Linked DNA regions of Xenopus tropicalis. The protein of the gene in region 4 interacts with the protein of the main gene of each other region in a pairwise test. Links are inferred from orthologs where the notes say so. Each region holds a gene or a part of one and is shown on either strand. Other genes may lie near its edges.

Region 1 (4,733 bases), on a different chromosome or scaffold from region 4:
ACAATACATGTATCCATTTTTCTATTCCAAAAAGAGATGTATAACATTGGCAGATCCATATCTTCTATGTAGTAAGTCAGAGGTTTGCATACTTTCCTTTTCGAATAATATGAATTAACATTTTAAGTCTTGTGACTGTTTGGATAGAAATACTGAATATGAAAAGACTGCAGGGGGGAAGCTTTGCTTGTCTGCCCTTCAGCATAAACGAGTTGTTTATCCCCTTTACAGTCAAGCACAGAAGCCCCATGAAAATGTTGATATATTTTAGAACAGAAAAACAGCATCTTGTTTGTGTTTGTCTTGTATAACTAATTGGACAGGAGCAGGCATCTGATAATAACAACAAACAGCAAAGTTCTTGAAATAGTACTATGTAGAAAATCCGAAAACAATGGCAGATGTGATACATCATCTTCAGCCAGTCTTAAAAACATACTTTTTTAGATAACAGAGAGACTCTGAATTTAAAATAAAGCTGCTAATGACAGGAGGTCTTACTGAGATGGAAATTATTTATTCAAGGGATATGGTGCAATTTGTCAAAGTAGAATGACTATATTAAGAATCCATTGAGCGTGCTGCTGTACAAGGTCACACCGGTCTAACAATCACAATAATCAGGGGGCATCCTGTCTGATACATTTTGGTATAATGTTGTTGTACAGGTAAACACCAGCATGCATGAAGCAAAACTGAATGAAGAATGTGACGAGCTAATGGACATCATACAGAGAAGAAAGCAAATGATAGCAGTGAAAATCAAAGAGACAAAAGTAAGAGTTCCTTTTTGTGAAATATATTTTCTTTTACTGATATGGATAGATAGGATAGAAAATATTTATATAACACTTTTCTCCTACTCAAAGTTTTAGTTATTAAAGCAGCTGATGTGTGTAAGTGCCGGAAGTGTGCCAGTAGATTAAAGAGGACATGGGGCATAAAGGTAGCCATACACAGGCATATTTAATCTGCTGATTTAGTGTCTTCAGAATGAGTCGGCAATTTATCTCATATTTGGGGCCCACCGACAGCCCTGCCCAAATAATATCTGGCAAAAAGCAGCCAGTATTTGGGTGGCCAAATTGGGCTCAGATCTGCTCTTTTGGCAACCTCACCAAAGGGGCAGATTGGTCATTTATGGCAAAATCCCCATAACCTTGTAGGCAGTGATAAATACTATATGGTGCTGATTTTAATCTGCACTAAAAAATATTATTATCTTTACCCCTTTATTTGAGATCCCCATAAATCCTCTTTCCATGTCTGAATTTTAAATAGTAGTGGGTAAGTCCTTTGCCATGTGCTTAGTAGGAGGTGGGTAGGCAATCACAGCCCTGCATTCACACAAGCAAAGATAGACCATAGTTTCCTGCCAGGTATACCTGGTTGTTGATTGGTTCCTATCTTGCAGTGCTGAGTGCCACTGGCTTCCCTGCAGAGCCTGGGAAAGCAGCTAGCAGGAAGTGGAACAGATGGGTGGAACTAGATGGATTTCAAAGGTTTCTGGGAAAATTTTCAATAAAACACTACATAACTAAACTTCTCTAAGAACACAAAAGCCTCGAATTATTTGTTTTTGTAAGAATTTGTGTGTGCTTACAAAAGAAAAAAAACACAAAGTAAATAAAGATTGTTACAATTTGCCCAGGACAAGTTCCATTGACATCTACATGTCCTTGACAGCTTTTATATGGTGTATTTATATATTTGTGTTTTTTGTGGGTTTTTTTTTTTTAAATTGTGCAGGGAAAAAAAACTACAACCTTTAGTAAATCTGTAGCAAGAAAGGGGAAGTAATGCTCAGCACTAAATTTTAAACCATTGGGGGGGTTGCAATGAGGCTGTGACCACAAAACTTATATAGACAACAACAAAAAGTCCTCTGCACTCAACAGCAAGAGGTCATCTGCTATAGGTTATACAGGAGAAGTGGTCAGCTCCCATCCTTCCCAGCTACAGTCAGGTGATCCCCTGGAGCCAATAAAAGGGCAATCATTTGGGGGTTTAACTCAGTCCATTTGTTAAATGAACAGAATAGAGTAAAATTCTTAATGAATCAGATAAAAGTGAGTGTAGCCCTGGCCAGACTAGGGAAGACTTTGATGTAATTGACGAGCTTGAAGTATTTTGCAATATATGGACAAACAATCCCTGTGAGTGCAGAGGACCTGTTGTTGTTTTCCTTAGTAAATCTGCCACGATATCCCTCTTTAAGTGATGTGTCCTAGTTCACAAAGACTTACTATTGGGATCCCATCCCAACATTACTACAAAAGTAATAGCAGCTGGGAGACCTCTACCTGGTTTGGATAGCACATTTACAGTTTTTCATTCCCAATTCAGTGGTGGGACAAGCTGGATCCATTACAGGGTTTATAGAATAAGTATTCTAGTCTCCCCATAGAACCCTATTCGGAACCCTGTGTATTTGGAGATTTGGTCTTCTAATCTGGGCATGTTCCCACCTATCCTTGGGGGCCAGGGAAACCTCTCTGTTAGCACTGTACATCTTAATACCAGAGTGCATCAGATCTGAGATGCATCTGGCTGCTCTGATCCATGTACATAATGTGCAGTAAACAGTTTAAACCTCTTCCTAATACCTGTTGTAACATCTCTAAGGTCATGAAGTTAAGAAAACTTGCTCAACAAATTGCCAATTGTCGTCAACGTCTGGAACGATCAACAGTACTAATCAACCAAACAGATCATATACTCAAGGAGAGCGATCATGCAAGGTTTCTGCAGGGAGCTAAAACTGTAGCAGAGAGGTGAGCAAACTTTTGCTTTAATGTTCTAGCCTGTCGATATACTATGTAGGGTTAAATACAGCCAGTCTGGCATTTTTTGGCATTCACCAATGGCATTGAATGTATTTGGCTTGCAGAGACTGGGAACCTCACATCCAACTATTAAAAAATATTCTAGTAAATGAATTGATGCAGCTTTTCCTATTTGTCAGACATTGCTGGCTGATAGTAGCTGTTGGCAGATTAAGTAAAAAATTAAGAAACCATTAACTCTAATTGATTGTCATGAATCCCTCCCAGTGGGGCTGAACTTTCAACCCATTAGACATTTCACAGCCATTGCCTGCATAATCATGGTCTCCTGATGCATTACTCTATTTCCTTCCATTTAGTAACAGTGTTTCTATTCTCAGCAATGTATGTTTAAAAAAACAGTCTAGTATGGTTAAAAAGCAGTCTAACCATTCTTTTATAAGTGAAAGATATTTTGTGAAATATACCTATATGAAAAAATAGAACTGATGTGTTAGTTATGTCTAATTGATGATCCAATATGACAAAAAAGTAATATAACCATATCTTGAAGGGACAACATAGTCCTCCTGCTTCACGTTGCCTGGGCCAGCTGTAAAGGTGAGCAAAGTCTTTTTGGTGATTGTTACCAGCCAAGGTTTGGTACATAGTGTACATATTGGCAATATATGAAAATGCTGTATTCATTCTTGCATTAATTAATGTAAGACTTTCTAGTATCAGATACTTATGTATTATTACAAGAAATAATTTAAAAAAAAAAATAATTTTAAAATTATTTTAGAAGTATTTGAAAAAGTATTTTTAATGTCACCTCAGAATTAAATATATGACTGCAGAACTCCTCAGCCACATTTGGGGTTGTGTTACCTCTTATATACTATAGTTCTAAAAGTTTCCAAAAGTTGTTTCATGTAAAGAAACATCCAGTTTCGATTTACAGATTTTATTCATTTTTATCCTGGTATTTATAAAACAATAATACATTTCTGAAACACTTTACAGAGACAATACTTTAGTCCCTGCTCTAGTACAGGTAATGAACCTATCACATTCACACACAGTTGAGCCTGTACATTGTGGGAAGAAACCCATGCAGACATGGGGAGAACATAGGAACTCAGATAGCGTTCTACCTAGAAGTGAACTCAGGACCCCAGTAGTGTTACTCAATGAGCCGCAATGCTACCAAAGTAGTGCTGTCAACCTTTTCAGTAGGGTCATTATTTCATATACTAGCTATGTTGGCTGCATTATATAAAAATAATGTCATACAGATACTTCTGTACCTGCCTGGTTATAATAACCCTGGAGGAATATATCTGGCCAGGGGGCCCTTAGTTAGACAGCTGCATTCGGTTTTAGGCAGCCCTGATTCAAAGAGACATACTACTGATCAAATATTAAACCTAGCATCCATAAAATATAAAGTTTGGGTAGGGAGGAGTCTCTTTCTCTTTCGTGCCTCACTTTGTATTCTGCTTCTGTATTTGAGAAAAATGTTTTTTCTAGATAGTAAAGTGCAGTTTTGGTCTCCTGTACATGGAAGTAGGAAAATCAGGAGGAGTGAAGAGTCTGGCTTTATCCTAACGCTCCCAAAACTCACACTGAGTCTGAATATTAGTGCGTGGAACAGTACTCTATTTGGGTCTAGCACTTTAAAGGGGAAGTTAACATGAAACTAAATGTTAGTATGGTATAGATTGTCCTATTTTAAGTACCTTTTCAATTGATCTTCAGTATTTATTTTGCATGCATTCCTATTTCCAGTCTGCAACTTGAAATCTCTCTTGTTTTCAGGGTAACTGACCCCAGGAACCAAAAACACACATGGACTGTTAGGGTTACATTTTAGCACTATTCTTCATTTGTAATTCTTATCTTTGTATATATAACTTTATTTATAAAGCGCCACAAGGGTACTCAGTGCTGTACAATCTTACCATA
Region 2 (4,733 bases), on a different chromosome or scaffold from region 4:
TGTGGGATCAACAAGCTTTGTGCAGTATTATAATCCCTGATGCTGCACTACGATATTTATATCATAGGCTATAGCTGCCAACTGCAGCTATAGCCTATAACTGGCAGCTAAAGCCTATGATATAAACAATGTACCCTAGCCATAAGGTCTTTGCACAATCTATAACAAACAGCATTAATGTATTTATGATTTTCCCTGTGTATGTCTGTTTATGTGTGTCTTACTCCTTGACATGTGCCCGGGGTATGCCTTTATTGCAGTATGTGCCAACTACAAACATCTAATTGCAGATAGGTACCTACACAAACAGCAGGGAATTGATTGGTGGGAAGGGGCTAAACAATAAGTGTAATGTGCTGTTGGTGTAGGTTAATGCATGCAGTTTTATTTAAAGGAGAACTAAAGCTTAACTAAAGAACTAGGTCAGATATGTGTACATTATGTGTTGGGCTTCAGTACCAGCCCAAGGCAACCACAGCCCTTTAGCAGGGAAGATCTGTGCCCCCAAAGATGCCCAGTAGCCCCCCATCTTCTTTTCTGCTGATTCCCTGCACATGTTCTGTGCTGCTGTCACTTACCTGAGCTTAGGGACCCACTCACAATTAGTAATTCATATAGATAACTACTACATGGCAGCTCTGAAACCAGTCCTGAAGAATCTGTTTATATTAAAGGCAAACCTCATTTTCTGCTGGATAATTTGTAAGAACCCCTAAGCTTAGCTTCCCAACAGCTGCTTAGAACACACTGAGCATGTTCAGTGTCACTGACACTCCTAACAAAATCCAAGATGGGGAGCTCCAGTGACAAGTTTAAGGGATTGGATCATTGCTACTATAAAGATGCTGAAACTTTAGGCTGGACAGTAAGTTCAGGATATAAAATATGGCTTTTATAGCCATATTCATTTTTAGGGCTTAGTTCTTAATTCTTTAAACTAGACTGAGAGGCTTTGTTGACATAGTCCCTTTCCCATTTCAGCCACTGTACCTGCAAACATTGGTTATATCTGCTCCGGAATAGCCTTCAATCTTCTGAGCAATAACTTCAAGGTCGACGCTCGGCTCCAACTCTACTTCCCGTAGATTTATTTTCAGCAGCTCTGCCCTTCCATTAGCTGGGAAAACACAGCCAGAATGTTACATGTCAACATATCCAACTAGAAGCCCAACAGTGTAACCAGATCAATCAGGGGACTGCCTGTCATTCTCTCAGCCAATCATCCCGTATTTGTGTATTGGAAACATAATTAAATTAAATGTTAGCTGGCATGTATCATCGGTGGAGAGCAATGTCAGGTTTTTAACACAAGCCAACTGACAGAGCAGAAGGGATTTTATCTGGAGCAATGAAAGGTAGCAGTGGTTAAATTCCTATGGCAGTATCAGCAATATAAACCCGGATTTATGGCTGCTCAATCAAATAACTACTCGTACAGTATTTCAATGCAGATGTCCCTTTTAAATCTGTGATTAATGTTATATACGGTTACAAGACAATGTCATCATAATTTCCTCGATACATTAGGTCCTTCAGAGGATATTGGTTACATTAAAGACACTTAAGAACAAGCCTGTGCGGCTCAGACACTCATTGGCCATGCAGTCTGTTCCCTGCATGTAATTGTCCCAGGTGGAGGAAAGTACATTGAGCTTCCATAATTTATACTTTTATTCCTGTCTGCTAGTAAATGTCCTTGAACTGCAGGAATATTATGGGAAGCAGAATTAATAATAACTGTCCTAATGACTTGCGTCTGGCCAGTTAAAAGTAATGTGCTGCCTATGGAAACCAGCGGTGTCCTACATCCCGCAGCTACTCGCGTGCTACCAATCCACCGAAAATGTCACTGTCAACTGAAAGGGAATGTGCTGAAATATTTATCTTTACCACATTTGTGTTTGTTTCAAAATCCAAAATGAAAATATAAATACTAAATATATTTTATTAAAAAAACAGATTCTCAATCTTGTCAATCAATAGGAAAAGGCTTGGTTAAAAGGGAGCCACCTGAAGAGTTAAGGCGGTGTCACAAGTGCCGCGTCTACGACAGCGGAGAAAAGGCTGATCCGCTACTGTCTTTCTGTGTATGCATGGGATCAGTCTGCCAGCACAAACACGGCCATATTGCTACATAAACACATCCTTTTGTGTTTCCATACATACGCTTGTGTGTGTGCTGACAAGGTAGAAAGGAGCTGACCAGCATTTTCTCCACCAGCATTATCTGTTCCAGCAGAGAAAATGCCAAAAGTGCCATTAAAAATAAAGGCCTGCTTTCAGCAGAACAACTAAATATATCTGTAGGTGCCAATAAACCTGCACAACAAATAGATAAGGGGATTACTGCTGGCGCTCAGCATTTACAGGGTTAAAGGTGGCTATACAGGGGCCGATTGCAGCTGCAATTTGAGTCATTTAGACCCATTCAGCAGCTTATCTGCCCATGTATGGGAACCCCTGACTACCCTGCCCAACCGATATCTGGCCAAAAATCAGCCAGTTATCGATCACACAGGTTTGATTTTTTTAGTCGGATCAGGGACCACATTTTGATGCGGTCCTCATGTGACTTTTCATATACCCTACAATGCGATTGTTTGGCCCTAGGTGGGCATATCGGGGGAAAGATTTTCCTGTTTGGGGACCTTGCCAAACGAGCGAATCTTACCATGTATGGCCACCTTAAGGCCTAAGGTGCATTCTTTATTCATGCGTTCTGCATTCTGCATGAAGGGAACTTTAGATGTTTTGCCACCTGTGCTGAAAAAGATTAAGGGGCAGATGCTTGAGCCCCTAAGTGCAAGGGGCAAAATACCCTGTGTGCCTCTGCCCTAAAGCAGGCCAAAGGTACAGGGTAAAAGAATGCAAATGTAGTGAGCCATTCTACCTATGGCACCTAGCACAGTATCTGTCTGTTTGGCCCAAGGGGACAATTAATCAGATACAGTACAGGATCGGCCAATGTATAGCAGCCTTCTGCTAGAGGGAGAGAATGCTATCAGATATGAATCCCTGAGCCTAGCCAGCTTAGAAACTGTTCTGGTACCTCCAGAAGCATGTAATAAACTTGCACACAATTAGACACACAAATACTACATATATCTATTAATGTACAGGTATGGGTTATATTACCTTGAAACCCATTTTCCAGAAAGTTGTGACATATACAATGCAGTATGAATGCCTATTTAAGCAAACATTGTTGCTGTCTAAGAACCTTGCAGCTGATGGAAACTAAGCTGAATCCATATTGGGTTTATCTAATATTGAAATTATATGGTATGGTATTTAAAATTATGGAAAGATCCCATATCTGGGTAACCCAGCTCCCAAGCATTACAGATAACAGATCCTATACCTGAACACTTAATTCAATTTAGAGCTTAAAGTGTTAAAATCATCACAATCAAGACAGATCTCTATTAACCAAGTTCTTATACGGCATTAAGCATGATCCTGGCAGGCTGCATTACATACTGGGTACAGGCATGGTGGCACACACACGTAACACAAGGGCTCAGGCTGTTGCATTCTGATGCAGCTGAAGTCTAGACAGTTTAGTCACAATGTCCGACTCTCAATGAATCACAATGATCCTGGCCTTTGAGTAAAAAATCACCAACTTATGTGCCTGGGGTTTTATCATTGCAACTTAATTGTCTTCGGTTGTTTCAGCTCATCTTGGATTGATGCTCTGCTTAACAGCCCATTGACGTGCCAGTAAATATGTCACTGAATCAGAATTGGATTCAATTATTTTAAAGCATCCGTAGTAAAACACAGCAAAATAGTAACAGAGATTCTCTTGGGGCGACAATTCCATTTCAATGTTTAATTTCACCTGCTTGGTCGTTTCCACTGTCGCACTGCAGTCTAAAAGTTTGTCAGGGGCGTGAGTACTTGTTGGGAATTGTTTTCATTTACTTGTTGTTTCCGTACGGCACTAATGTGGCAGTGGCCATTAGAATGTTAATAATCTAGAACTGGCAGCAGGAGCTTACAATTAACTTTAAATTAATATTATTTATATTACTTATTTATATTACTTCTCTTCCAGCCCTCTCCTATCAATCCTCCAGGTGGTCGTGCCAAACACCACCTAAGTGTGACCTTAAAGGACAAGGAAAGGCTAAGTCACTTGGGGGGTGCCAAAATTTTAGGCACCCCCAAGTGACTTTAATCGCTTACCTTGTCCCCCAGGCTGGTGCCCCTGTTAAGAGAAAACCACACCAGCCCGGGGTAGCTGTAGCGATGCGCTTCCTCCTTCCTGCTTGTTTTGCCGGCAAATTCCCGGGGCAATCACATGCGCAGTAGAGTGAAAAGCCGACTTTATAGTTTAAGTTCAGCTTTTTCACTCTACTGCGCATGAGCGCGAGCGAAGCAGGAAGGAGGAAGCGCATCGCTACAGGTGCCCCGGGCTGGTGCTGTTCTCTCGGAACAGAGGCACCAGCCCGGGGTAAAATGTAAGCGATTTAAGTGACTTGAGGGTGCCTAACATTTTGGGACCCCCAAGTGACTTCGCCTTTCCTTCTCCTTTAAAGGGGTGGCTCACCCCGTTTAGTTTGGTATAGAATGCCACATTCCTAGCGACATTGCATTTGGTTTTCTTTATTTACTTTTTACAGATTTTTGATTACCGTATTTGCCTTCCCCTTCTGACTCTTTCCAGCCTCAAATGGGGGTCACTGACCCCAGCATCTAAAAACTATTGCTCCATGATGTACAATGTT
Region 3 (5,479 bases), on a different chromosome or scaffold from region 4:
TTCTGTAGAGTTACCATTTGCCTTTTATGCCCTCTTAGTAGGTCTCAAAGCAAATAAGGGCAGTGCAGGCAGGATGTGTGACAGCAGGTGGGAGACGAAGTGGGGAGGAAATCCAAGGGCAGATGGGGAATGGAGCTGGGAGGAGGTTTTAAAAATGGAAAAAGGGGGCCTTTACATTCTCGGTGGTGGGATGGAATTTCTGGGAGATTAGTTGCAACTAATTTCCCTGTGTGCCACAGCCCTAAGTGCTTTATACAGTGGGTGTTGGCAGCGGGAACTGGCTGCATCTATATTCTCCCTTTACCTCATTCCAACCACCATTTCTTTTCAGTATTTCCTACTTCTCTTTCCTCATGCTCCCTTCTTTTTCTCTTCTGATATTTCTTTACTTCCTCTGTCTCATTTTGGTCAATATATTTTATAATCTCCAATTTGTTATGCCCTTACCTACTTTAACCTCACTTGACCTCACCTATTCCACTTTCTCTTCTGCTTTTGACTTTTTAGGCAATATTTCGCCAGCTTGGCCAGCAATAATCATACTTTCATTGCTATTCAGGGGGTATATTGTAAAAACCCTACTCCACTTTTTGTTTTTTCCCCCCACACATTTGCCTTTTATATTATGCTACTCTATCTCAACCCAACATCCACTGTATACCATTCTTCCTTTAATCATTGCAGCCCAATTCTTTTCTTCTGCATAGACCCCCACCTTTACCGTCTGATGTCCCATAACATCCAAAAATTTATTTAGAGCTTTGCCTTCAGTTAATACTAAGGTACCTTAAAAGTAGTATAAATAATGCTGTAATAATTGTAAATGTGATACCATGAAAGTATACTGTGATATGGGAAAGGAGTGCGCCAGCAGTAGTCATGAGGCCCATACTACTAAGCAGGACCCTCCCCTCCAATTATTTGCCCACTGGTCACACAGGGACCCTGCGTGGTAGGCCCCTGCCACCTACCAGCATATTTATTTTATTTTGTGCCCAAATAAAAGAAATATGCCCCTTAGCATATTAGCAGAATTTTTAATTGATTATATTTTTAAAGTTTTTTTCATTTCCATGAGATAAAACTATTACATTTTCATTATAGTTGGGCTTGGCGTGGTTTTGCTTGTGCCTGCAATTGTGTCAGGCGCAACGTCCCTATGTGAGAACAACAATGCTGGAATTCTGAGGGAAAAAAGCTGCATTTTGGAAAAACAGTGAGTTCCACAGTAAAATCGCAGTTAGCAAGGCCGCATTGAAAACAAAATGGGCCACACGTTTTTGAGTGGGTGACCCCCACTAGCAGCCCCATCTTGCTAATGTCTTTGTTGCTAGGGCCACTAGGATTTTATGAAATACTGGGGGTCAATATGTTATTAGTTATGGAAACAATGTTTGAGGTATCATTATTCTTGTGACTGACAAACTAACAATGTTAATAAAAAGAAACGGTATCAAGGGCATATTATTTCAATTTAGAAATGTTAAAAAACTTTCAATAAGCCTTTGCTTTATTTTTATAAATATAACCTGTTTAAAACGAGAAAACTATATGAACAGGGTCAAATCAAGGGTCACAGTTTAATGAATCTTAGTTATATATAACAAACGAGCGCACAAAAAGGTGGTACTCATGCGTACGACTGCGCACAAACAAGGCTTATAGGGAATTGTAGTTTTTACTTTCGCGCCTTTGCTACCGCCCTATACAGTTTCTGTTTCCTTATAATCAACAGCAGCGCCGATAAATCTTGCTTCCGAACGCAGAGGTTTCCGTTAGACCCGCCTCTGAGAGCGCATTGGCCTTTAGGCTTGTTGGAGCTGCGTGTCATTGGCTAAGAAGTGTCCGGCTTGCGGCCTGGATTTGTGCCTGTGCCTGTGGCTTCCGGCAGAGAGTGAGCGTTACCGGAGCGGATGCAAGAGTGAGGTAAATCCGGTTATTAATCGTGTCCTCCGGGAAAAGGAGTCAGCGCAACCTCACTGGCAGGGACAACAACTTTGTGTGAAACAAGTGTACAGTTCAGCGCTTACACAAGGAACAGACCAGAACTACATCATTTGTCATACTGCTGCATCGCTTGAGGTGCAGCTTCCGTGTGTAGAGCGACAAGGACAACATACAAGTTTGCTGACAACAGGTAGCATGTAGTGGCCCTGCATAAATAAAACAATTAAGAAGTATAAAATGTGGGGGGATGCAAATCTTCAGTTTAGGTGTGGAGTGCCCATTATGCAGACTAGTAGTTGCCCCAAAACCTACATTAGTAAGGGTTGTCATGGCATGGGCCGGACCTGGAGTTACTCTGCACATTGAGCTATGCATATCCAATGTGCCAGCTTATGAGTTATCTATTTCTAGGTGGTTAACTACTTGATAAGTTAGTGGTTAATGCTAACAAGGTTCATTGATTGAATTGTTTTATACCTACAAACATACAGGGTTAACTAGATTCTTAAGAAAAAAACGTGAAGTTTCTTGTTTACATGCCATACTTTGCTTCTGTTACCTTTTGTTAGAAGTGAGTCATGAAGGACCAAGAACTGGAGAATGGCACAGCCAAAGGGCCTTCCCCTACCTCATCAAGCCCCTCACTTCCTCCAGCCACAGATGAGAACGTGACTACACCTGGAGTTTGTCACCCTGCTACTGAAGGTTAGTAGTAGCATTTTTTTTATAGTGGGTGTCGGATTTTTTCAGTTCTGCCTTCCAGCATTGAAGATTCAACCTTTGGTCAAGACCTTCTTTAGTTCATTAAAGTTATCAGTCATTTAGACTATTCTCTCAAGCTCCACCCTGTAGCCTGATTTTTAAATAAGTGGTATATGTGTTTACAAAATAATAAAGTAAAAGAAAAGGAAAAGGGGAAACTAAAATGGAGGGAGGTAAAAGGGGAAACGAAAAGGTGCAATAGAAGGGAGAGAAAAGTACTTCACTAACAAATGCTGTTTATATACATGAGGGATACCATTCAACTAAGCATAACTCTTACTAGCCCTTTCCCAGGATAGCCACACCCAAAGAACAGTCACAGCTAGGTTGATGTTGTATGATGACCCATAGAATTCTCCAAGTTAGTAGTGTCCTTTAGATGATTAGTTTCCCAAATAATGGTATTAAAGGAACAGTAACGCCAAAAAATGAAAGGGTATAAAAGTAACTAAAATATAATGTGCTGCTGCCCTGCACTGGTAAAAGTTGTGTGTTTACTTCAGAAAGTCTACTATAATTTATATAAATAAGCTGCTGTGTAGCCATGGAGGCAGCCATTCAAAGGAGAAAAGGCACAGGCACATAGCAGTTAACAGATAAAACACTATTGTATTCTACAGAACTTATCTGTTATCTGCTATGAAACCTCTGCCTTTTCGCCTTTTTTCCAGCTTGAATGGCTGCCCCCGTGGCTACACAGCAGCTTATTATATAAATTATAGTAGTGTTACTGTAGCAAACACACCAGTTTTACCAGTGCAGGGCAACAGTGCATTATATTTTTATTACTTTAAAGCTCTTTCATTTTTTGGTGTTACTGTTCCTTTAAAGGTGTCATGTAGGTTACAGTGTTGTACAGACTGTGATTCTCATTCTTGAACTTTATTCCCATGGTCTAAAAACCTGTTCTACCACCTTGAGGGTATGAGCAAATTGCTATTCATTGCCTTTTCGCCCTGCTGGGCATCCTTTTGTTGTTGTTCCTTTGTTTACAGTTGTTGCCTTCACTTCATACTGGTCTGTGGGTCTCCTCCTTGTCCATCACAGGTGTATCTAATTCACACAACAGCGTTAGGAGATAGACTTAAAAAGTAACTGCATTTTATGATGTGATAGCCCTTGGTCAGCTGTTGCACTGTTCCATCTGTGTTTATATTATACACTACCCTGAGATCAGAGTCACTGTTAACGCCTTAGGGTTGTGACACACTGGAAGATTAGTCATGCGCGACTTATCTCCCCGCAATGCCATGCCACCGGCTAGAATGTAAATCGCCGGTGGGATGGCACTGCGGGGAGATTAGTCGCACCACAATAATGGAGATTTGTTACGGAGCAACTAATCTCCCCTTATGTCACAAACCTTACATGATTCATAAGTTCAGGAACAACTCTGATATGGAATATTACAAAGGCCCATATATTTCCATGTCAGACAGTCAGGTACTTGGCGCGGTCCCAGTGGTCAATCAGCCTGAGCTGATATGGGTCTAAAAGGGCAAGATAGTCAGATCTGACCCACCACACAGTGGGTTCAATAAGCAATTCTGAATTTGTGGCCTGATCTCTTTAGTGTGTACATATTTATGGCCAGGTTAGCGACTTTAACTTTAATAACTTGGAAACTTGCTAGGTGAATTTACAACACAGGTGTAGAATTAACTCCGATGTAGCAACAAGTCCTATCAGGTAGGACTTGTTTTCATTTGTTTCATTGCAGTTAACCTTTCAGAGGTATATAGTGCTTTATTAATATAGCTTACTGCTTCAGTGTAAAACTTCACCTGTATTGTGAATTCCTCTTAATTAATTCAAAATTGGTGTGAATTCTGCTTTACTTTTGGTTATTACTTTTTGGTTATTACTTTACTTGGTTATACTATCAATTTTACCGATTTAAAATCAGCTGATGTGTTGCCTGGTTGTCTTACAGTGGAAGGAGCAGCTGGTAATTCTGTTACTGTATGTGATGTGTCTGAAGAGTTAAGTAGGCAGCTGGAAGATATTCTTAGTACATATTGTGTTGATGACAAGCAAGAAGGAGCAGGAGACTCGGAGGAGACAGATAAGGGAGCCCAGGAGACACCAAAAAATGGTGATACTGAACTAGTAGTCCAAGAGGTTAATGGTGAGAAGGAGGAAATGCGGGTTTTAGAAGACAGTAGAACCATCAACGAGACTGAAAAAGATCAGAAACGAATGCAAGACAAAAAAAAGGCAAAGGGTCTGGGTAAGTTGAAACCTTTAAAGTCAAGTATGCCATACTTGCCATTACAATCCCTGACCTGAGGTATTGTTCAATATTGTTTTCCATTGTTACATAATGAGACCGTTTCAGGACCACCACAATGCGTCTGCCTCAAACAATGTGGAGAATTGTTAATCATGTCTAGTAGCTAAAGATTTCTATAGACTAGGTGTTTCCAATCCATTTCTCAGTGGGCCCAGGTTATGTCAGGCTGTCAGCTGTTTCACCCAAAATTTGTATTTGTAGTATTTTAATTGTCTCACATTTACTGCATATACTTGGCAGTATTATTTCCAAATGTGTCCTTAAATTATTGATGTTAATATTTTTACACATTTCATCATAGGATAATAATTTTACTAACCAGCTTGTATTAACTTAGTTGTATTTCTTGACTGTTACCCTTTTTCTACCTATAAGTGGCAATGTAGAGTGTTGTAATGTGTATATGCATTTGAGATTAGTTTTTTTTTTTTTAAACCCTTTACCATAAAATGGTAGTGTGTGTGTGTGTGTTCTAGT
Region 4 (5,254 bases):
AGGGTAAGGAACAAAAGAGTCACTTTTAGATCATTTAACAGCTGTTGTCTCCCCAGATGCTGCTCACAAGGCTCAGATAATCTGCTGATTGCTTTCTTTCTCTCTCTGTCTCTCTTTTCAGGATGCTGCGTTCTTTACTTGCATTTCTTACAAACCAAAAGCAGCACACACCCACTTTTGGGTCTGTTCCACCAAATTCATATGGAACCCCTCACAAAGAGAAATCTGGTAGATAGCCCTCTGCTTGCAAATTCTTTGTCTCTGTGCACCTCACAGATTAAACAAACATTTGTTGTGCACACTTGTGCAAGCTGGAGCGTGATCATTTCAGAGTGAAACCTGCCTCCCAGTTGCAGTTCTCTACACTGCAATCATTTGTCCTGCTCTCACTATTTTCCGTCAGTCCCCCAGACCATGTCAGCATTATATTCTTGTTTTCATTTTCCTCTGTTTTCCAGATCCTTCCAACTGCTTGTCTCTTCCTCATACAAACAGGGAAAGTGGAGGCGGGCTTAGCCCATGGACTGATTCCTGACAGTTTAAATCGTAGGCGGCTGTTCAGTCACCTTGTAAATGGGAACCTGAATGACAGTGCTGATACTTCCAAACATCTCAAGCAGCCCGATCAGATGACTTGTTAATAGTATGTATGAAAAGTCACAAGCAGTTGTTCATCAGAGTATGTTTTAAGAATCCAGGGTACTTTAAAGCAAATTTACACACTTTTTTTTGCATAATAATAAATACTGTAAGGAATTTCCAATAAACATTTAACATTTTCCTGGTTTTCAAAACTCTTGAATCTCCCCTGCTACCTCAAGCTCACAGGTTTACCTTGATGTTTAATTGTCCTGGGAGGAGCATTTGTGACAGGCACGGGTCAACTATAGGCACTGACGCGCATTCCTCTCCTTGCTCCTGTTTACCGGGTCAGGGGCTGAGGGTGCGCTCTGTCTTTTATCAGGCAGAAGAGGCTGCTGTCTTTATTTGTGTGCTGGGCAGTTTCACCTTTCCACCCCTAACATATATCTCTCACTTCTGGGAATCTCTGGCAGAGCACAGCATGTGCAATAGAAAACAGAGGTATCGCTGATCCGTTCATAAAATATAACAGACATTTTAAAGGGACCCTTATAAGTTTGGGAACCTTAAGCTGGCCTTGTTAATATGGCTAGAAATTCTAGTGGTACATTAATATTGTTTTGCTTACAACTGATTAAGAATAGAAGGAAATAACATAGATTAATGTACCACTGGAATGGGCCCTGTTTATAACTTTGGAAAATACACAAAACTGTTGACATGTCTGAAGTTGATATGCCCTTTATCAGTTTTATTTAGTAATTTTACTGGCATGTCTGGGGTTAATATGCCCTTTATCAATTTAATGTAGTCATACTGGCACCTTTGAAGTTAATATGTCCTTTATTCATCTGGGGCATGTAAAGTGGGTGTGGCATGCAGGGGCGTGGTCACAAAGCAGGCATGGCCAAAAAATGTTGCCGCACTACCCGCGTCACATATTTTTGTCCCTCTTTCTCTTAATGAAATGTTGGGAGGTATGCCCTAATTTGCTCAGAAACTTTTTGGTCAAACTCTCTTCTGGGGCCCCCTAACTTTCTGCTGCACAACTAACAAGTAACCCACACATATAAGAGTCAAGGTCAGAGGAAATGATTAGTCAATCTCACTCATTAACTATTGCCATATTAGCCCCTGCTTAAACAAAAACACTAGGTCCCTCAAAGTACAAAAACCTGAAATGATGACTAAAATTCTACTTAGCGCTAATTTGGACAAAAAGGCTTTCCTTTCTGGGCGATTTGGGAGAAGAGGCTTTTTTTTAGTTCCCTGGCACAAGACATGACTTCTGATAAAATGTTGGTAGCCAGGAGGCGAATGGAACAGCAGGTAACCGATACAAACATTAGTCTCTCTCTCTCAGAGCGGCTAGGGCCGCGGCGCTGCAGTTACCTGGGAGCGTGACGCCATAATCTCGCGTGATGAGACTTGAGGCGGCGGGGTTTTCAGTAAAACAGGAGGCAAGGCATTTGCCATTAACAGCTGAGCGAGAGATGTAAGTAGCGATCCGGGACTAGACTGCGTGCTGTGTTAGGAAAATCGGGAATGATAAGTGGGACAGTCGGGCGGTATGCACTTAATTGGGTTAGCCTGACTTCAGAGACCCAGACTTCGGAAGATTGGTTGCTTGCTATGTTGCATGCATGGGCTTTGCTCTACACAGCTTTCAGTACTGCTCGTTTTGGCATTGGAAGTTTTAGTTTCTGTAGAGTTGCACAGAGCTTTCCCCTCAGCCTATCCAATTTTCATCCAACTTTACCTGGACTAAAACTTCTGTGACAAAACAAGGGGTACAAAAAGCTGTTAAGGGGAAAGAACACTTTAGGGGTATATTTATCATGATGTGTAAAAAGTGGAGTAAAACATTACCGGTGATGTTGCTCATAGCAGCCAATCCGATGCTTTGGTTTTCTAACTGTTGAAATCTTATTGCTGATTGGTTGCCCTGGGCAACATCACCAGTAATGCTTCACTCCACTTTTTATACAGCATGATAAATATACTCCATAGACACCCTAACAACCACCCTTCCTTTCAAAGTCTGCAGCTCACTGACAGCAGGTTAAGTGCTGCACAGCTGGGCAATGACACATGATGAGATTAGTCACCCCGTGATTAATCTTCTCCAGTGGTGGCGGCTAGTCTCCTCTGAATGCTTTCCTACTGGCGACAGAGTCGGAACTAGGTGGAGACAGAAAAGGCACCTGCCTAGGGTGCAACAACGGGGGTAGCCAGGTAGTTACCTCTTCTGCCTACCCCTAGTCCATGCAGCCATGCTCTCTCACCCCTGCAGCTAGTCACTGCGTGTTCTCAAGTATGCCGGGTGAGTGCTGGGGTGAAGAGGCTGGCCGGGTTGCCTAGGGCGTCCGTATGGCTTGGTCCACCCCTGACGGTTTATAATGTAAATCGCCAGTAGGAAAACATGCGTTGCTCCTGCTTCAGAAGTTGCCTCGCGAGGAAACTGCCCAACATCAGAAAGCCAAAGCGAAACATAAATACGATTTACACCAGTAGAAAAGCATTCAGAGGAGATTAGTTGCCACTGCTAGAGGAGGTCAATCACTGGGGGGTATATGACTTACGAAGCCGTTCAGCTTTACATAGGTGGGTTACATTTTTTTTTTAATAATACATTTCATTGAGTCATAACTAATTGCAGATTAATACTGATGATGTACCATTTATAATATATTTTAAAGGGCATTCAATCAGAATCACATCTTTATTGACATGTTGTTAGGGACCACAAGAAAAAGTGCCTGATCAAATGCAAAAAAAAAAAAAATCGGTGATTTCATAGGTATAAAATGGTGATTTTTATTTTACTGTAATTTGATTGTATCTTTTCTCTTTTCCTTAACTGCATATGTGTTTATATTCTCCTCATAGCTTCTTAGGATGGAATCGCTGTCAAAGGAAAGTTACCTTTCAAGTTTTCACCAGTTTCCTTCGTATGCTCCTTTGCCTGACCATATCAAATTTGAATCTGTATCATCCAAGAAAATACAGTGTTCTGCACTGGAAAACATCAGTCCTCATCAGTATGACATTCTTCAAGCACCAAACAGTAGAGGTGATGTAAACTTACTGCTCTAAAAGAGTATTTGGTATCCTAAGCATGAAACATGAGAGACATTTATTGGTATAATTCCACAGACAATGAATGTCAAAAATACATAATTGTTTCCAAACTACTAATTGGTACATAGCACAAGCCCTGTGAAGAGGTTGAGAGGGTAACCCTAGATAATCTTCACTACCTTCTGGAGCACTAAAACATTATTTTGCCCAGTCCTGCGCTTAAGGGCAAATGCCCATACCTGGTGCACTCTTACCTTCCAACTTGTGCCTGTATGTTACCCAACCACTTAGATTGTAAGCTCTACAGGGCAGGGACCCCCTTCCTACTGTGTCTCATACCACATGGCACTTATATATTTATTTATTTATTGTATTTATTTATTATATCACTGTGTCCTCCCTGTGTGTAATTTTGTATTCTGTAAGATTGTACAGCGATGCGTACCCTTGTGGCGCTTTATAAATAAAGTTATACATACATACGTACAAACTCAACCTTCTGGCAAACAACTTGGTATTAGAGACCAAGTATATTCCTTGTTACTGTTTATTTTTTCTTTCTTAATTGGCTTATGTACAAAGTGTTTTTTTTCCTATAATACACAACTATACATTGGCTGGGCACACAACAATCCACAAACTATACCACTGAAAGGACTGTTTCTTCAACAAAATATGGACCTTTAAGTCACGTAGTTAGCGTAAGCTTAGGCAACTGGATTAATGTACGATGATACTATGTAAATGGTATTGACATTTGCACTGAACAATATACATGGAGTTTGGTATGCACTGCACAACTATTGATCAAATAAAATAAAAATACTTAAAAAAAAAAAAAATTTGCATCCTCAAGAAAAGCAATTGACTATAAAAGGTGCAGCCACTGTAGCTATATGAGTGCTGTATTTCTTCCAAGTATTTAAATAGCTAGAATGCCCCAGGCATTATAAATGTTTTTTTTCCTGGGGAATCAGGGCAGATACATTTACTACGCATCTCTATGTTTGGGCCTGTTTTTTTGCTAGTTTATTTAAATAACAAACAAAATTACATTTTTTTAATAATTGAATCATTTTGTTGTCATACCAATCAGCTCTAATTTCTGCACTGAAGACTCTTCAAGAGAAAATATGTCGACTAGAACTGGAAAAAACTCATGCTCGTGATCGTTTAACAAACTTGACTAGAGTAGCTGGTGAGCACAAAAAGGTTCTGGAGTCTGAGAAACAGTCTGCAGAATTGGCTGCAAAGGAAGCCACAAACCAACAAAATGGTAATGTGGCCCATATCTATTTAACAAGAGTTTTCACCGCTCAGCAGTACAGTTTTGTATTTTGGTAGGAAGTATGTATATTTTTATTCATATAACACTACTTGTGTATGCAACGCTGTATAGTAGATATACAGTATAACTATGTTGCAAACCACAAATAGTCAACATTTGGGAACCACTGCTCTGTTTTAAATCTTTAGAGCAGTTCAGATATATATATTTAAGGCATTGAAAGATATGCTTGGACAGTCCTTATTTTTACACTTATATGGAATACACTAGCTGTTCCTTAAAAGCATTACTTAAAAGGATTCA
Region 5 (4,733 bases), on a different chromosome or scaffold from region 4:
AATATTATCTGCGGTTTACAAAATAAAGGGATACAATTATAAGGCTTAACCCTTTACACGCACAAACAAATATTTCACCAGAAAAGATGCACAGTTACAATTGCATATTATTAGGAGACAACAGGTGGAATGCCCTGCTCACAAGAGCTTACGATTTAAGAAGTGAAATCTTTTAGCTTCTTCTTCTGGTTTGAACTGTTTGCTTACTTACATTTATCATTGATTAGTTATTCTGGAATAATGGTAGACTTCTTAACCTATGTTATTACCTTATTTAGATATGGTAGGTTTGGTTCAATGCAGCCTACATGGGGCACATATTAAATGATATTGGAGTGGTTGTCACATTCTTTTTCGCATACACACAAGCAAACACTCAGATAAGCACAGTCTCACACAATCCTAGACATTATGCACACAATGTAAAATGATTTACATTATATTGTTTAGACTGTCAATTATATATTTAATTGGTTTTGTAACTTTTGTACCCTGCATATTGTCTAACTGTAATTGTGTACAAACAAAAAGACTAGAAATTAGACACATATTAATACCTGTAGACTCTTATTTTTACACCCAGCTTGTTAACATTACAAACTGTTCTTTATTTAATGGAAAACTTTAACATAACTAATACTAAACAATATAAATGATGGAGTTCAATAAGCCAGTCTTGATATTTTTATAATACTTTGTCTCTAACTTTTAGTCATTGATCTGGTTGCTTCTGATTTGGAAGAGCTTGCACGAAAATGCTCCCTGTCATACAAGGTGGTGTATATTTTTTCTTTAAAATTCTCTTAGATTTTGTTTGATTTGCTTATCTAATCTGCATATCTTATTACAAAAATGCAGACTGCTATGTCTCTAAGTAAAATTGCCTGACAGGTACTTGCATGAGTTAATTTAGTTAATTGCCAGAGAAGTCAATGGGGACAATTTGAACAGATTGTAAAGCCTTAGGCAAATTAATTGTAGGGGTATGCTACAGACCTCTTGTGTAAAGGTGCCCATACACCTTAAGATCCGCTCTCTTGGCGATGTCGCCAAGCGAGCGGATCTTCACCCGATATCCCCCACCTACGGGTGGGCGATATCGGGAGAATCCAGGCTAATTCGATCATTTGGCCCTGGGGCCAAATGATCCAATTATTACGGCGGGTATAGGCAAAGTTGGATCCGACTAGATTTTTTAACCTGCCTGACCGAGATCTGCCCGATTTCAGGCCAGATATATAGTGCTCATACACGGGCCGATTAGCTGCCGAATCAGTCTAAAGGGACTGATATCGGCAGCTAGAATCGGACCTTAAGTGAAGAGGCTAAGCTGCTGTTGCAGATATAAAAGGCTGCTAGTTTGGGGCATGAAATGATAACGGGAGAGTTTAACTACCTAGATGTTGACTGGGGCAACAGTACTGTCAGGACAGTTAATGAAAACAAGTTTATAAACTTCTTAATTTACCATTTTATGTAACAGATTGTTAGGATGAAACTGGGAATCATGTTATAATGGGTCTAATGATCTCTAACAACCCAGAACATATAGCAAATGTACAAGTAATATAAACTCTGAGGACCATAACGTTACATCATTTAAAGGGGACCTGTCACCCTAAGAAATAATTACAAATTGTTTTCTATTGTGTTTATCAAGCAAAATAAACTTCAATTACACTTTATAAATTATTTTAAACTTATTTCCTTCAGCACTGGAATTCACAATTGCAGAAAACAGGCAGGCTCCATTTTGTGGACACTGTTATTAAGGCAAGCTGTGTATCCTGCTAAAATCTTGTTTCTGTGCCAGTATGGGGGGACCTGATACATATATCTATGCATTGGTTACACAATTAGATGGTGAGGAGGGAGGGGGAATGTGAGGAGTGCAGTGATATCTAAGAAGTTCTGAATTGAAAGTGAAAGTAACTGTCTGCCCCACCCCTATGCCTAAGGCATAGAGGTGGGTCAGGCAATATATGATTGACAGCTGGGGCTTTAAAATGCTTATATAATGGGTATAGATGTGTTAATAAAAAAATGACTTTGGGTTACGTGTAATTTGAAAAGGGCTTTTATTATACAGCTTTTTATGTCTGGGTGACAGGTCCACTTTAATGTTTATTGCAAAAAATAAATATACATTAGGTCAACAAACACATTAAGATCAGTACCTCAGTGCATAGTTTTATGCTAAAAACTAAGTAATGGTTTTCATTTAAAATGCTGCTAAATCTTTCCTGTTTACTCTTACACAGTAAGAGTATTAAGGACCACCCTATATGGCTTTAATCAGAAGTACGGAAGCTAGTAGGAATAGGTCAGAGGGCAACAATGCTTCTTTTAAAAAATATAACAATTCAACAATTGTTGAAAAACAACAATCAAAAAAGGTAAAGAAAACCAATAAGGGACTGACCAAATTTCAAAGACCAATCCCATACAGGTTAAGACTGGGGCTTCATTAAAAATAGTAATAATTTGGGTAGAAAGGCATAATCAGTTCTTTTTTTCAGTGTATGCGATAGAGAAGTCAGAGTTTCAAGACCCACTTGGCAGAAGTATAAATGGCTCCTAAATTACAGTGTTACTATGTGGACTACTTTGTCTGGCGTCTATTATTGCAGTATTCCTAGATCTACAGTAATTGCTTGCCTTTAACAAGATTCTGTACTAAAAGGTTGCATTAGACTGGGGCCATTAACTAACTGTCAGATTTTTTTTTCCATTTAGACTTTTAGTGCTAAAATTTGCAGGTAAAAAGTTTGTGATTTTCCAAGATTTACTATGCGTCAAAACGGCTAAAAATCTAAATCTAGCAATTCACTAGCTAAAACTTGCCAAGATCATGTAGTCAATGGCATATGTCCCTTCCCTGGATGATCCTTCTTTTGCTTTGAAAGTTTAAAAGTTTGGGATTTTTGATGCTGTTTTTTTGTTTGACAATTTGAAAAAGTTGCAGTATTCATAGGACAAGTCGAAATATTGGGAATTTTCATGACTCTTCTGCAACTTTTCCAATGCAAACTTTTTCAGTTCAGACTTTTTAGAAATGTAAGACAGTGAAAATAAGTTTATTCAAATTTGAAAAAAATGAGGAATGTTAAAGTAAATCTGCCCCCTAGAGCTAAGCAATTATATAATCACAAAGTAATTTGTCCTACACTTCATATACCATGTGTTTTTTTTCCCTTTGTGATGGTTTGCGGGCAAATTGGAAACTTCCAGCTTCTCACCTTAATTAAAGGGAACTAAAAAGAGTCACTCTATTTTAAAAGTGTGTTTAGAATTGTACTGTATTTTCAGACATTAATGGCAGTGAGGCGTGTTCTTCTGGCACAGTACTCTGCATTTCCCTCCAGTGGAGCTGATGTGTATGAAGAGCTTAAGAGTTCCACAGCCATCCTACCCACAGGCAACAGAAAGTAAGATTATGTTCATCTCATAAGCAAAAATGATTAGAAAAGTGTAGTGTCACATTGCTTTGTGCTGAATCTCAAAGCTGCTTATTTTACTAATCCTAAAAAGGTACTAACCATGATCAGTCTTTTGCAGGTCTGTGGTGGGAATGTCTGAACGTCTCACAAATCCTCACAAAAAATAAGATTAAAAAAAAGACTAGCACACACAATACTGAACTAAGTGTGTTTTAACCAGTTTATAAAGTAACAAAAAATTATCATACAAAATTAAGCCTATGACGCACCTGAATTTTTACTGCTATGATGGTCTGAGTATTTGCTTCCCATTCATGAAAGTAAACATCTGTCATAACATTGTCTTTGTAAGGGTTAATCTCTTTAACTCTGTCTGTGCTTCTGTGCACTGTATCTAAGCAGTCACGAACCGGTTCGATTTAATCTGTGCGTCGGCGAAACATCTGATATCATCTGTGCATGTGCGCTGATCAGGGAACTTGTACAAACGATACAACCAGTATGTGTATTGCAAACAAGTTCAACTTTATTTTGTTTTGTTATTACATTTATAGTTGATAGGTAAACACATCCCATTATGCTTACGTAGCATGGGTGGGCACATATGCCTTACAGTTATTAGCAAATAAGAGAAATTCATTAAAATGGCTACTGAAGCTTATTATGATTTCTTAGCCTTGAAAATTAGCCGAGATAATCAAGGCCGGAGCAACTTGGACAGACAAGATAGTGAGGATAATCATAACAACTGAAGTAATACATACACAGGCCTTCATGATTGAAAACAAAATTGTGTAAATTCAGCATTTAGCAATTTAAACCCTATCAGTCTTTGCATGTTATTTACAATTTTGCCTTAAAAGTATTTGCCTGATGATTTTACCTTACTTATCTGATCCCCCATGTTCCTCTATGAGGGGGCTGCCATATTTGTGCAGCAGTATTTTGTTAGCATTAGACACTATCAGTGACAGGTTGAGAAGGGACCGTCAGGTTGGCAAACCAGTCAGGTTTAGGAACTTCAAGTAACAATTACTTAAACAAACAAAAATATCATTGAAAAATGATATGAAAACCTATAGGTATCTTTTAATGTATGTTAATATTTTAAAAAGTAGTTTTTTGTTGTCTGTATCACTTTAACAGAAAACTCTACCAGTGGTGCATGCTGTTGGGGACAGGTGAGCAGAACCAGAACTTCCATAGGTGCAGATTTTCCCACTCTTTTGAGGGATGAGAGTCAGGCAGGGACAATTTGACTATCATGTTTCGCCTTGACAGAACTGGGATGCT
Region 6 (3,973 bases), on a different chromosome or scaffold from region 4:
ACATATAAGCAAAATTATCCTTGATTTTGCTTTCTAGGAAACTTTTCTTTTCTTTTTATAGTTTATCCACTGGGCATAGTTAGTTAATTTGTTTTTGTTTTGTTTTTCTCTATTTTATTTCTCTGTAAGCATTCAATTTCTTCATTTCTTATCTTTTTGAAGGACAGACTGTCGAATGTGACTATTGTTGTTCAACCTATATTTAAATCATTTGTCATTATTCATCCTAGAGGTTTTATGCAAAAATTCAATAAAATAAAAAAAAAAGAAGGAAAATTACTACATGGCTGCTTCCACATGCCCTGTATTGCTATGTGAAGCAAGCTGGAGGCAGGAAGTGCCATAGCATGTGGGTAGGTGGTAGGGAAGGGATAAGTGGGAGCCAGCAGTACTTAATAGAAAGTAGCTCTTGGCCTGGGACTGTTTAGTCTTTCAGCCATCACATCTACAGAGAGACATGTACAGTATTCAACCCAAAATTGCAGGACATGCAGAAAGATTAATGAATTCTTGACGATTTATGTTATTGTATTTGTGTTTATGTATTATCTGAGAGTCTCCAGTATCTGGCGCAAAACCGTGTGCCTGATTTCACCTGGCACAATTATGCTGGAATTTTGGAAAGGAATGTTTCATTGTGTTTAAAAATCATGGGGAATGGTGCCAGTTTTTTGCATATTTATACCTTTAGAAAATGAACCTTAGTAATTCCAAATTTAGCACCTGGAAAAGAAAGAAGAAAAATATGATATACGATGTAACTTGTCCATTGTTTTTGATATGTCTGTATTTTCCCATGAGCTCAGTTTGCATGTGCACCTAGGCCTCTGACACCCACTGGGTAGAATAACTGCATAATGTCTATTATATTCACAGTTTTTCCAGCTGCAGTGATGAATTACCTGATACATTCACCCCTCATTAACATTATAATTGCATTCTAGTAACATGGCAGTGTCAGACCACTTTTCCTGTTAGGTCCCGCTGCTAAGCAAATAATCTGCATTCTCTTGCTTGATGTGTGAAATCGCCAACATAAACATTAACAACATTATTAAAAAAAAAAAAAAGCATTTTATTTGAAATGATTAAATAAACGGTCAGAGATTTTAAAAAAGAAAAAAGAAAAAGAAGTGCAGCTCTCATGAGGGAAAGGAACTTCCTGGCTCCTCCTACCCCCTTGTACAGCTGGCAGTGACGTCAGCGAGTGCGCGTTCTCGCATCCCCAGCAAGTGCGGGGCGCTGTGGGGGCGCGCTGGCGCGGTGCATTGTGGATACGCGGTGACGTGTTCCCCCGGCCGGACCCAGGATGGCAGACGAGAGCAGGCAGAACAAGCTGGCGTCGGCCCGGCGGAAGGTAAACTGTGCGGACACGGGGGCCGGGGAATGTGTAAGCCTGCTGTTGGTTTCGCTGTAGGACGGCCGTGGCGCAGTTGCCATACCCTAGTGTTAGCCAGCCAAGTTAAGGAGTCATAGGCCGGAGATGACAGGCAAGAGGGAGTGTAATGGCTCATAGTGTGTGGGGGCAGTTAGTATATAGGTAGGAAAGGGGGGCATTACGTAGGGATGGGCAGCTGGCATGCCAGAGTATGGGAGGGGGAGACATGCCAGTGCATGGGGTCTGACTAGTGACTGCTCACACTGCTGGGCATATTCAGCCTGGGGCCCTGCTCTGCTTGTTACACTACTGTGTCAGCACCCCCAGCCTTTATTGCCTGGCAGTGCTTGCTGGGACTTGTAGTCCTGCTGAGATATCTGTGGTGTGAGGGTTTATTGCTGTCATCTTACCCTGCCCCCCATTATATATATGTGTGTGTGTGTACCCTATATAGGTATGTATGCACACAAACTGAATAGAATGTTTGTATTTATAAGAGCTGCCCTGTGTCCTTTCTATTCCTGGGGCACCTAGCAGCCACAGGGGCTACTTCCTTGGGGGGCAGGTGGTGGGGGCAGACTGGGAATTGTATGTCAGCAGTAGCAGCAGCGTGATTAAGCTCCTTGAAGACCATGTTTATCTGCCCATATATGCGCCAGGTGGGCCTGCATTGACCTCCATCATGATGTGATGATTGGCACAGAGGCCAAATGATAGGACGGCGCCATTTGCTCACCTCAGCCAAAGATTTGCTTGTTTCTCTACCTCACCCAACAAACGCATCTATAAATCCTGCAGCTGACAGCAAAGCTTTGCGTTGAAGTAATTATGGTACATATTGCTTCGCTTTTGGTATTTCGAACAGGAGCTTAGCGGTATTATTACACATAGGGGATCTCCATACAGTTCCACTCTGCATAATGGAAGAAAAAAGAAGAATAAGCAACGTCCCAAAATACATTCATTAAGAAATGTCAAGGGCAAGAAAGTGTTATTCCCTGGCTGGTGCCTGTTTGGCAATTACACGTCCAAATACCCAGAAAACCACAGGATTTTTTACAGTCACGAATAATGGAAAGTTGCTTAGAATGACAGTTTTATATAGTGCAAGAAATATATATATATATATATATATATATATATATATATATATGTATATATATATATATATATATATGTATATATATATATATATATATATATATATATGTATATATATATATGTTTTATTTTGGCAGGGTTCCCCTATAAGCTAAGGCAAACGTTCATGTTTTAGTGTTATCAAAGGGACCTGTAGTCAACTGGACCATAGCGTCCTGTTCCTTGCAATGTTCTTATAACCCGCACTGTCATTCTTGTTGTCCTTATCTGTGTACATTTGGGATCAGACCTATGTGTGCTGTGCAGGTTGACCCAAAACCTGTGGGTCCGGCAGATTTGGGCTGACATTCCCACAACATTTATGTGTCGTGGGCAGTTTCAGTCTGTGCTCTTCCTTTTGCCCTTTACATTTGCAACCTTATTTTGCCTACTTCCGCCTCTAGGGGCAGGTGCAGGTCTATCATTTATTTTTCTCTTGTCCTCAGCAAAGCAGATGCTTCAGACATCTCAGTAAGAGCTGGCTATTATTATGGGATATGATAATATATACATCAATACTACTACAACCAATTTATCATTTAAAAACACCACACAGATGATAAGAGAGAGTAGGTGTGTCTGTTTCTTAGTTGAGGGGAGGCGTTGCGGCTGGCATATGGCCACTTGTATACTAGAAAGTAAGGCTAGAAATAAAATAAATGCGGGTGCAGGGAGAAAGATGTTATTCTGGAGGCTTTTAGAGTAATTTTATGGGATTTTAAAACAAAAGGGCCAACAGGCCAAGAATCAACCACTACAATCCAATCAGCATTTAGATATGCCCACACCCTGAGCCACTGTATCGCCAAGGTGCACACAGCGGATTTCAGTGCTGAAACACGTGAGTATGCATTTCTGCACATTTTATAACTTATAATGTAGAGTTAGCGGGATGCAACCTGGATCCAAAAGCTGCGTTTATCCCTACCCTGTGGCACTCACCCATTCAAAGCAAAGTTTGGCCTCAACACAACCTTCCTGCTACTGTTCCCAGTCCAGGCAAGAAAGAACCTGCAATGTTGCACTAGGGAGTTTATTCATTTTTGAGGGAAGAGGAAGATGGGACAGACCTGCGGGATTCTAATGTGGGGCAATGTGGGGGTGCTGACAGGTCACAGAAAGGAAGGAGGACAGAGTTGACATGAAGGGGAAGGTAACTGATAAGACCAGAGAGTAATCGGATGCAAAAAAAGTATGACGGGCATTAGGAATGCTGGAATGTTGCAGTACAATAAGGCTGTTGTTCTCTATAGAAGAGCCGGGGCCTTGCAGAGCCATAGCTAGAGCTTTCCATGTCCCTCTCCTGTTCAACTACCAGTGTTGGATTTGTCACTTTAGTACCAAATGTCTGATATAGAACAAAAAGCTGGATCCTGTTGTGGGGCCAAACATCTCTGCTTTTTGGCACTTAGCAGGGAGGATGCCCACTGTCTGAAATGGCATATATTTCCCAAT

Evidence for each region.
Region 1: the proteins of cep57l1 (region 4) and mid2 interact in binary tests that used the Homo sapiens proteins (3 or more experiments, as listed by UniProt). The two-hybrid records come from large-scale screens. The link is inferred for Xenopus tropicalis from reciprocal best matches to the Homo sapiens genes CEP57L1 and MID2.
Region 2: the proteins of cep57l1 (region 4) and katnal1 interact in binary tests that used the Homo sapiens proteins (3 or more experiments, as listed by UniProt). The two-hybrid records come from large-scale screens. The link is inferred for Xenopus tropicalis from reciprocal best matches to the Homo sapiens genes CEP57L1 and KATNAL1.
Region 3: the proteins of cep57l1 (region 4) and txlna interact in binary tests that used the Homo sapiens proteins (3 or more experiments, as listed by UniProt). The two-hybrid records come from large-scale screens. The link is inferred for Xenopus tropicalis from reciprocal best matches to the Homo sapiens genes CEP57L1 and TXLNA.
Region 5: the proteins of cep57l1 (region 4) and rad51d interact in binary tests that used the Homo sapiens proteins (3 or more experiments, as listed by UniProt). The two-hybrid records come from large-scale screens. The link is inferred for Xenopus tropicalis from reciprocal best matches to the Homo sapiens genes CEP57L1 and RAD51D.
Region 6: the proteins of cep57l1 (region 4) and golga2 interact in binary tests that used the Homo sapiens proteins (3 or more experiments, as listed by UniProt). The two-hybrid records come from large-scale screens. The link is inferred for Xenopus tropicalis from reciprocal best matches to the Homo sapiens genes CEP57L1 and GOLGA2.

Annotation. Positions count from the first base shown.
Region 1 is NC_030684.2:40,364,490-40,369,222, reverse strand, and holds part of mid2 (probable E3 ubiquitin-protein ligase MID2), read left to right. Parts: intron 1-668; coding exon 669-776; intron 777-2,625; coding exon 2,626-2,774; intron 2,775-4,733. UniProt on the Homo sapiens protein: E3 ubiquitin ligase that plays a role in microtubule stabilization. Mediates the 'Lys-48'-linked polyubiquitination of LRRK2 to drive its localization to microtubules and its proteasomal degradation in neurons.
Region 2 is NC_030678.2:154,249,801-154,254,533, reverse strand, and holds part of katnal1 (katanin p60 ATPase-containing subunit A-like 1), read right to left. Parts: intron 1,118-4,733; coding exon 991-1,117; intron 1-990. UniProt on the Homo sapiens protein: Regulates microtubule dynamics in Sertoli cells, a process that is essential for spermiogenesis and male fertility. Severs microtubules in an ATP-dependent manner, promoting rapid reorganization of cellular microtubule arrays.
Region 3 is NC_030678.2:86,590,810-86,596,288, forward strand, and holds the start of txlna (alpha-taxilin), read left to right. Parts: upstream 1-1,899; 5' UTR 1,900-2,137; intron 2,138-2,516; 5' UTR 2,517-2,525; coding exon 2,526-2,652; intron 2,653-4,642; coding exon 4,643-4,939; intron 4,940-5,479. UniProt on the Homo sapiens protein: May be involved in intracellular vesicle traffic and potentially in calcium-dependent exocytosis in neuroendocrine cells.
Region 4 is NC_030681.2:77,965,303-77,970,556, reverse strand, and holds the start of cep57l1 (centrosomal protein cep57l1), read left to right. Parts: upstream 1-1,992; 5' UTR 1,993-2,077; intron 2,078-3,471; 5' UTR 3,472-3,480; coding exon 3,481-3,655; intron 3,656-4,759; coding exon 4,760-4,939; intron 4,940-5,254. UniProt on the Homo sapiens protein: Centrosomal protein which may be required for microtubule attachment to centrosomes.
Region 5 is NC_030678.2:94,392,900-94,397,632, reverse strand, and holds part of rad51d (DNA repair protein RAD51 homolog 4), read left to right. Parts: intron 1-712; coding exon 713-774; intron 775-3,309; coding exon 3,310-3,428; intron 3,429-4,733. UniProt on the Homo sapiens protein: Involved in the homologous recombination repair (HRR) pathway of double-stranded DNA breaks arising during DNA replication or induced by DNA-damaging agents. Bind to single-stranded DNA (ssDNA) and has DNA-dependent ATPase activity.
Region 6 is NC_030684.2:22,944,911-22,948,883, reverse strand, and holds the start of golga2 (golgin subfamily A member 2), read left to right. Parts: upstream 1-1,173; 5' UTR 1,174-1,309; coding exon 1,310-1,357; intron 1,358-3,973. UniProt on the Homo sapiens protein: Peripheral membrane component of the cis-Golgi stack that acts as a membrane skeleton that maintains the structure of the Golgi apparatus, and as a vesicle thether that facilitates vesicle fusion to the Golgi membrane.